2 linked regions of the Mus musculus genome follow. The protein of the gene in region 2 interacts with the protein of the main gene of each other region in a biochemical or structural test. Links are inferred from orthologs where the notes say so. Each region holds a gene or a part of one and is shown on either strand. Other genes may lie near its edges.

Region 1 (4,174 bases), on a different chromosome or scaffold from region 2:
GTTCCTCAGCTAGCAGCTGCTTCAGTGGATTTTCTTGGGGTGCAGGGTTTAGGAAGTTGTTCACATTGGGGCTTGGCAGTTGTTGAGAAGGATCAGAAACAATAGCCAGATCTGAGGACCCCTCATCTTTGAGGGGCCCCAAGATCAGGCCATCAAATAACTTCGGTAGGTTTTCCTGGGGGAGGAGGAGGGTGTTAGCTGGTCAACAGCTTCAGCTGAGTCAGGAGGGCAGCCAACCGGTGGAGGAATGGAGGTCCCGGGAGAAGGGCTGGGGGGTGGGGGGCGGGGGGGAAGGCTGAGGCACGGGACGACTGCCTCTCACCTGGGAGTGAGGCAGGCTGCTTTTGCCATTGGTGTCAGGAGAGGCACCCAGATGTACGAAGTCCCGCGCCCCTGTCCAGAGTGGAAGTGAGCGTGTAGGTGGCAGAGACCCTCCTGATCCCAAGCTTTCTGTGACCCCCAGGCCAGCCTTGTCACACGCACCTGGAGTCACAAACTCATACACTTTATGAGGGTCATAAGGGTCCTTGCTATTGTCAGCAGCTAACCGCAACACTTCTTTCCGGTTCAGGGCTGACCGGAAATTCCTCTTCCAGGTTGACACGTCCGGCTTATCCTTCCCCGGGGTGTAGGCACCACTGGCTTCTGCCCAGGCCTGAAATATCAGGGATTCCACAACAAGACGACTTAGACTCTGGCCCGAGGCCCTGACACCTCCCACCACACACCATCCACTTCTGGTTCATGACAGAGCCCCCAGGACCTCCGTTCTCATACTTTCCCACTATTTCCACACTAAAGAAAAATCGTTTTGATTTTGAGGCAGGGTTTCACACATTATAACCAAAGGTGGGCTCCAAGCTGAGACCTCACCCTCCACCCTGCCCTGCCCTGCCCACGGTGCTGACAAACTCATGTCACCATGTCCACCTTCAAGGCTTTTTTTTTTTTAAGCCATCATTCTAGTTATCTACTTGGTACCTCACCCCAGGCCACCTCACATTCTTACTACCATGCTGCTCAGGAAGCAAATAACACCTCTTGAGGGCAGTCTCAACTCTTAAGGCTTAAGGGTTCTAAAATCAAGAGCCCACTCCTAAAGATTTCCCGCCCTCTAAAACAGCTGTTCTCAACTATCCTAATGCGGTTCCTCGTGTTGCAGTGATCCCCCAGCCCCAAAATTATTTGTATTGCTATTACATAACTGTAGTTTTGTTAGAAGTCAAAATACTTATTTTTCAATGAAACGGTCATTCAACCCCCAAAGGGGTCGCGTCCCAGGGACTGAGAACCATTGCTCCAGAACGTTTCTTAAGAAACGCAACCTAGGGCTGGTGAGATGGCTCAGTGGGTAAGAGCACCCGACTGCTCTTCCAAAGGTCCAGAGTTCAAATCCCAGCAACCACATGGTGGCTCACAACCATCCGTAACAAGATCTGACTCCCTCTTCTGGTGTGTCTGAAGACAGCTACAGTGTACTTACATAAAATAATAAATAAATCTTTAAAAAAAAAAAAAAAAAAAAAAAAAAAAAGAAACGCAACCTGGCTTTCAGGATTCTGTTCCTAGAATCTGCCAATCAATTCCCGTCTGTCCCTCCAGTCCTATCCCACCCCCTGCCCTGGTCCAGCCACACCCAGAAATGCGTCTGAAATCTTTCCCCCAGCACCTGGAAGATGCCAAAGTCAGCCATCTGTGCGTCCTGCCGTAGGCCATGCTTCCACGGGATCCTGAACCTCGTTCGGCTCTCGTCCAGCCAGGCCACGCCTTCCAGCTGCCCCAGGTCCAGCTGTGACACCAGCCAGGGCAAAATCCGCGGTTTCGGGGTTTCCATGCTCTAGCCTGCGCACCACAGGACAGTTCCTGAGCCTGTCTGTCACGGGGCAAATGCACTCAAACCTCTCCGACCCGCCACAACACAGGTCTTCCTTCACCATTGTGTACAAACGGGAAACTCCTTCCCACCTTTCCAAATCCAACGGGACCGCCTCTCCTACCCCCCAGAGTCTTCTATATGAACTCTACCCATAGGTTCCTTCCCTTTTCTAAATGTAAACTCCTATTATCCAAAGCTGGCACCCTATTTCAAGAGTGGAGTCCTCTTTCCCTCGTCTTTAAAGGATCCTAACTGCTCTCACAACCGCCTCACCCTTGCAGAAAACCCTTACTCATTTCCAGAGTCTTTTCCCAGGTGCTGTCGCTTCTTCTGTTTTTTTGTTTTTTGTTCCTATATTGTTTTTACGGATGTTTGAGACAGGGTCTTAGTATGTAGCATAGGCTGTCCTTGAACTTGCTATGTAGCCAAGGCTGGTCTTCAACTCACTCTGTGGCCCTGGCTGGCCTCGAATGCACTCTGTAACCCAGGCTACCCTCAAACTTATTCAGTAGCTCAGGCTGGTCTTCAAATCGCTTAACCCATGTTGGTCTGGCGCTCATTCTGTCGTCCAGCCTGGCCTGGAGCTCACTGGCCTTGAACTTACAGCAATCTTTACTGCCTCCAGCCTGGATGCTGAGACTGCAGGCTTCCGTCTACAACGCGTGGCCATTCTGCTTTTCGGTAGCCGAGCTTCTGAGCGACAGGTTTGCCCGATCCTGCGCCCTGAGGCCGCCACCCTCCCGGCTCTTCCGCGTTACCTACCAGGGGAGGAATTGGGCGCCCGTGCGGCGCGGGTGCCAGCAGTGGTTTTGGGGCTCCCAAACAGTAGTTCTGAGACTCGCAGCCACGCAACCCCCTTCTTTGTCAGCTAAGCCTCCGAGCGCTGGGACTTCCTTTTCTAACGATATTTTGAGATATAAAAAGTTTTTCTCAACATTGACGAAATAAAGTCAAGAAATCCCGGAGCGCACTTCGGCTTAGCAGGCCTAACTCCCTCAAATGCCCTTTTTTGGCCTTCCGCCTACAGGCATGCTGGGAACGCCATATGCAAATGACCGCAAAAGAAGGCTCCACCCCTTCGACGTTGGGGCGGTTGCCGTGTCGGCCCAGTGCGCAGGCGTGGGAAAGTTGAACTTCCGAAGTAAAAGTTTGTAGAAATTGTGAGAAAGCGTGTACGCCAGTGCGACGGGGACACAACCGCGAGCCAGGTGAGCTGGGTGCCAGGGAGGGGACAGGGTTGCAGGAAAGGCCACAGCCAGTCCTGCCAAGCTGTGACTTCCAAGCACCCGGGGTCTCCCGGTGCACGCCAGAGGTAAAATTGGAACTACATCTCCCAGCAGACTGCTCGGTGAAAAGTGGGGAAATCGGACCAGCGTTTGCCGCAAAGCATACTAGGATTAGTAGTTCCCTATTCTCTACGGTCTTCGAGCCTTCTTTGGCGCTGCTAGCTGAGAGGGAACTCCAAACCCCCTTCCCGCTCCTTCCTGCAAGAGTTCAAGCACTCATTTACCTCCTTTCTTAGACTCAGTAATTCAGACCGTTTCTCCTCAACTGAATCAACTGCCCCACTGGCCCTTAAAAACCACCTTTTCCTTGGAGTTAGGCGCCCTCTTCATTCAGTGATTCAGAAGTTTGAGTTATCCCTGCACTTGGGTGCATCCTCTGTCTTCTGCCTCAGGTACCCCCATGGCCGGCTCTGAAGAGTTGGGTCTCCGAGAGGACACACTGAAGGTTCTGACGGCCTTCCTTAAGCGCGGTGAAGTCGCTGGGTCCCCTGTCCCAACTCCACCCAGGTGAGTTCCACTCCCCCAGCGTCAGCCTTTGATGGGAAGATCTTCCTGAGTCTTGTGGTCCAAACCTATCTACTCCCATCAGACCTAACTCCATGTGCCTGGGCTGAGTTTCAAGAGTGATCTTCCATGAAAGGATGAAGGGATCACTTGCCCAGACCCCTTCGGGATAACTCCGAGGTTCTTGTCCCTAGGAGTCCTGCCCAAGAGGAGACAACAGATTTCCTGAGCCGCCTCCGAAGATGCCTCCCTTGTCCCCTGGGGAGAGGAGCTCCCCCCACGGAGTCCTCTAGGCCCCACTTCCTTCCCCTCCGCCCCTGCTATGGTTCCGAGCCTGGTAAGAGATTTATTCAGGTCACTTGTGAAACTTTCAGGGCTAGGAGTTTTGGTTCCAAAAAATCCAGACAGGACCCATTATAAAGTCAACACGGTTCAGCTTCAGCACAAGCCATAACCATTTCAAGTCTTTGTCACACCTCTTTCTAGCGGGTAAGTGTAAGTGTTTGTG
Region 2 (3,641 bases):
CCCCTTCCTTCACCCTTGGACCTTCTGCCTTTCTGTCTCCATCACTCTCCATTGTAGCATATACCTGGATTTAGATCCAGCTGAGCCACTCACTAGCTATATGTCCTTTGACCATATTCCTTATTTTTTGAGTCTGTCACAGTGGGGCAAATGGCCACATCCCTCATGTGTGGCTGCACTTAGCTGGGGTTCCACATCTTCCCTTTGCCCAGCGCAAGGCACCTGCCATCATGTTTGTGGCTCTGGTGTTTCCTTCTGTCTCCATCTATACAGCGTAGAGAGTACAGAGTCTACACCCAGTCACTTTCCCTACTCTCCATTTCTATTCCCTGCCCCAAGGTTGCTCTGAGAGCATCCAGGTTCTAATGATAACACCCAACTGCCTGGTGGCCCCTTAAGTCCTCTCAATGTCACTGCCACGTCATGTGACCAGAGGGGGTTTAGTATTAGAGCTTGAAGAGAAGATCTGGGAAGAAAAACCAAGCCAATCTTGAACACACCATGTTTGCTTTTGTTTCTCTTTTCCTCCCTTCTTCCCATGTTGGTCTCTTCATTTGTGGATGCTGCAGTGCTCTCTCAAATAAGTAATGGCTATGGTAGGGTCAGAGATGGGCTGTGGCAGGGGTCGGTTGGGGATGACAGCTGTGAGAAAGCCTTGGGACAGTGGAGGAAAGTGAGTATAACAGTCAGGCTGGTGAGAGCCCTGTGCCCTGCTCCCCCATCTTTGGTGCCACCTTTCTTGTCTTTCCCAGCTCTTCTTTTCCTCCTATTCCCTCCCCATTGATGCTTATCATGTCTAATGAATCTTTCTTAGTCAGGGTTTCTATTCCTGCACAAACATCATGACCAAGAAGCAGTTGGGGAGGAAAGGGTTTATTCAGCTTACACTTCCATACTGCTGTTCATCACCAAAGGAAGTCAGGACTGGAAATTAAGCAGGTCAGAAAGCAGGAGCTGATGCAGAGGCCATGGAGGGATGTTCCTTACTGGCTTGCTTCCCCTGGCTTGCTCAGCCTGCTCTCTTATAGAACCAAGACTACCAGCCCAGAGATGGTACCACCTACAAGGGGACTTTCCCCCTTGATCACTAATTGAGGGAATGCCTTACAGCTGGATCTCGTGGAGGCATTTCCTCAACTGAAGCTCCTTTCTCTGTGATAGCTCCAGCCTGTGTCAAGTTGACACAAAACTAGCCAGTACAGAATCCATCCCACATCAGGTCATGGAGTTATTGAAGGGAGACTAGATGCCCCAAGCATCCAGGCCTCTTCTATTACCAAGGTACCTCTGATTCTTTCTGGACATCACTATATCTTTGTACCTTAGGGACCTCACTCCGCTCCCTAGAGCCACTGCAGTTACCAGACTTTCCTGCTGCGGTTTCTGGACCCTCTGCATTTGCGCCAGGTCACAACATCCCTGACCATGGCTTACGAGAGACACCAAGTTGCCCCAAGCCTGTCCAGGACACCCAGCCACCAGAGTCCCCAGTAGAGGTAAGTCCTCACAGTCTGTTTTAAGCTGCCTGCTTTTGTGTGCCTGTCTGCCCACTTCTGCCCACCCAGCCTTCCAGAAGCCCCTTCCTACCTCCTGAAAATCTTTCCTGCTAAGAATGCTGGGGTTACCTAACTGGCTACCTAACTGCTGGCCATACCTGTGGACCCCTTAGCATTCTGTCTTTAGCTAGCTAAGAGGTCATGGTTTTGAGGTCTTTGCAGTGGTCATGTGACATGTTGAGCTGGGTAAAAAAAAAAAAACAAAAAAACAAAAAAACAAAAAACTGGAGGTTAAACCAGATTTGAATGTGAGGGAGGTGATATGAGGGCTCAGGAAGTCATGGATGGGTGGTGACAGAGCTCTTATCAACTGTAAAGTCAGGTATCTGGAAGATAACTAGTTCTACTGAGATGAAGTGAGTTAGCCATGGGGTATAGAAGAAACCCTAGGCCTAGACAATGGGTCTGAAGCCATAGGGTCTGTGCAGAGACTGCTGAAGAAAGGGCAGTGGTTACAGAGCTAGACACACACATGGGGAGGAAACTTGGGCAGTGCCTGCTTTTTGTTTTGTTTTGTTTTGTTTTGTTTTGTTTTGTTTTGTTTTGTTTTTATGTTTTTTAAAGCACTTGAAGTCATCCCGAGAGGCTGGGGATGTAGCTTTCAGTTGGTGCAGTGCTGATCTGGCATACACATATCCCTGAGCTCAGTATCCAGCACCATAGAAACTGGGCATGATGACATATACCTCTAAGCCTGACACTCAGGAGGTGAGAAGCAGGTGAATGCAAAGTTCATAGTCACCCTTGGTAAGTTCAAGGCTAGGGTGAACATAAGATCTGATCCAAAAACAAAACAGCAACAGCAAAACCAAGTAGGTACTAGGATTGAAGACTTATATTTGGCAAGTATAATATTGAAGAGCTACTTCACTCTTATATGTGAAGGTTTCTGAGGATCCTGGGCTCTAGAGGAGGAGCTGAGGCCTGTAGGAGATACCCTATAAATATCTGCTGCCCTTTGTCAGCTCCTGGGAGAAGCAACTGCTTTATCTCATTTCCTCTGTTTCAGAATTCAGAGCAACTCCTCCAGACCAACTCCGGGGCCGTCGCGAGGATGTCTGGTGGCTCTTTGATACCCTCTCCTAACCAGCAGGCTCTCAGCCCTCAGCCCTCCAGAGAGCATCAAGAGCAAGAACCAGAACTGGGTGGCGCCCACGCAGCAAGTATGCATAGAGTGTGGAATTACAGGGTCTCTTGGATCCCTCGCAGGAAGGTTAGGGTTACAGTTACCATATGGCCTTCCTTAGACAGGAGGCAGGGTAGAAATAAAAGGTATTCGCTTCACAGAGTATGTTCTGTGTGCACGCCTGTGTGTGCAGTAGTGGCAGCAGCAGCTTCAAATGCAGTCATTTATGTGCACATGTCTCAGCTGGGTAGGTCTTCTTATCTCGCTGAGTTTTCTCTCAGGTGTTTACTGACATATACATGTGTTCTTCTACTATCCATTACCTGGTACCTCTTCATTCTCTTTTCTTCTAGGACAAAAACCCAACTCATGACATCTGGGCAAGGCTCTAGGTAAAAGAGAAGCAGAGCTCTGAGCATAGGCTCAGAACTGGCCTATTTCTCCTGCTCTGTTCTGTGGTCAAAATAGATTAAAATTTTAATTAATAGATTAAAATTTTAATCTGGCCAGCCCAGATTAAAAGCACATTGGAGGGTGTAGTTTTTTGCCCTGTGAGTGTGTATTTTTGTACATTGCTGCATATGAGAGAGAGCTAAGGCTGTTTCTGCACTCAGGTAAAAGGTAGTGATTGTCCAGGACCTGAAGACAGGAAAGATAACATACAATAGTAGCTGATGAAGGAGCTTTTAAACACTGCTCTTCACAAGGGGATTTCTAGTTCCCAGCTGTGGTGGTTTGAATGAGAATGGCTCCCATCGCCTTCTACATCTGAATACTTGGTCCCCAGTTGGTGGAACTGTTTAGAAAGAACTAGGGGGTGTAGTATTGTCAAAGAGGTAGGCTTGGAGGTTTCAAAAGCCCATGACATCCCTAGTTAGTGTTCTCTCTCTCTCTCCTGCCTCATGCTTAAGGATAAGATGTAAACTCTCAGCTACTGCTCCAATGCCACACCTGCCTGC

The links.
Region 1: the proteins of Mavs (region 2) and Irf3 form a complex in vitro, tested with the Homo sapiens proteins (2 studies listed by BioGRID). The link is inferred for Mus musculus from reciprocal best matches to the Homo sapiens genes MAVS and IRF3.

Annotation. Positions count from the first base shown.
Region 1 is NC_000073.6:44,996,373-45,000,546, reverse strand, and holds the start of Irf3 (interferon regulatory factor 3), read right to left. Parts: upstream 2,900-4,174; 5' UTR 2,639-2,899; exon of another isoform or gene 2,169-2,638; intron 1,874-2,168; exon of another isoform or gene 1,843-1,873; 5' UTR 1,835-1,842; coding exon 1,670-1,834; intron 656-1,669; coding exon 484-655; intron 394-483; coding exon 323-393; intron 176-322; coding exon 1-175. Other genes in the region: Bcl2l12 (bcl-2-like protein 12), read left to right, coding at 3,563-3,669, 3,861-4,003.
Region 2 is NC_000068.7:131,240,554-131,244,194, forward strand, and holds part of Mavs (mitochondrial antiviral-signaling protein), read left to right. Parts: intron 1-1,326; coding exon 1,327-1,496; intron 1,497-2,565; coding exon 2,566-2,719; intron 2,720-3,641.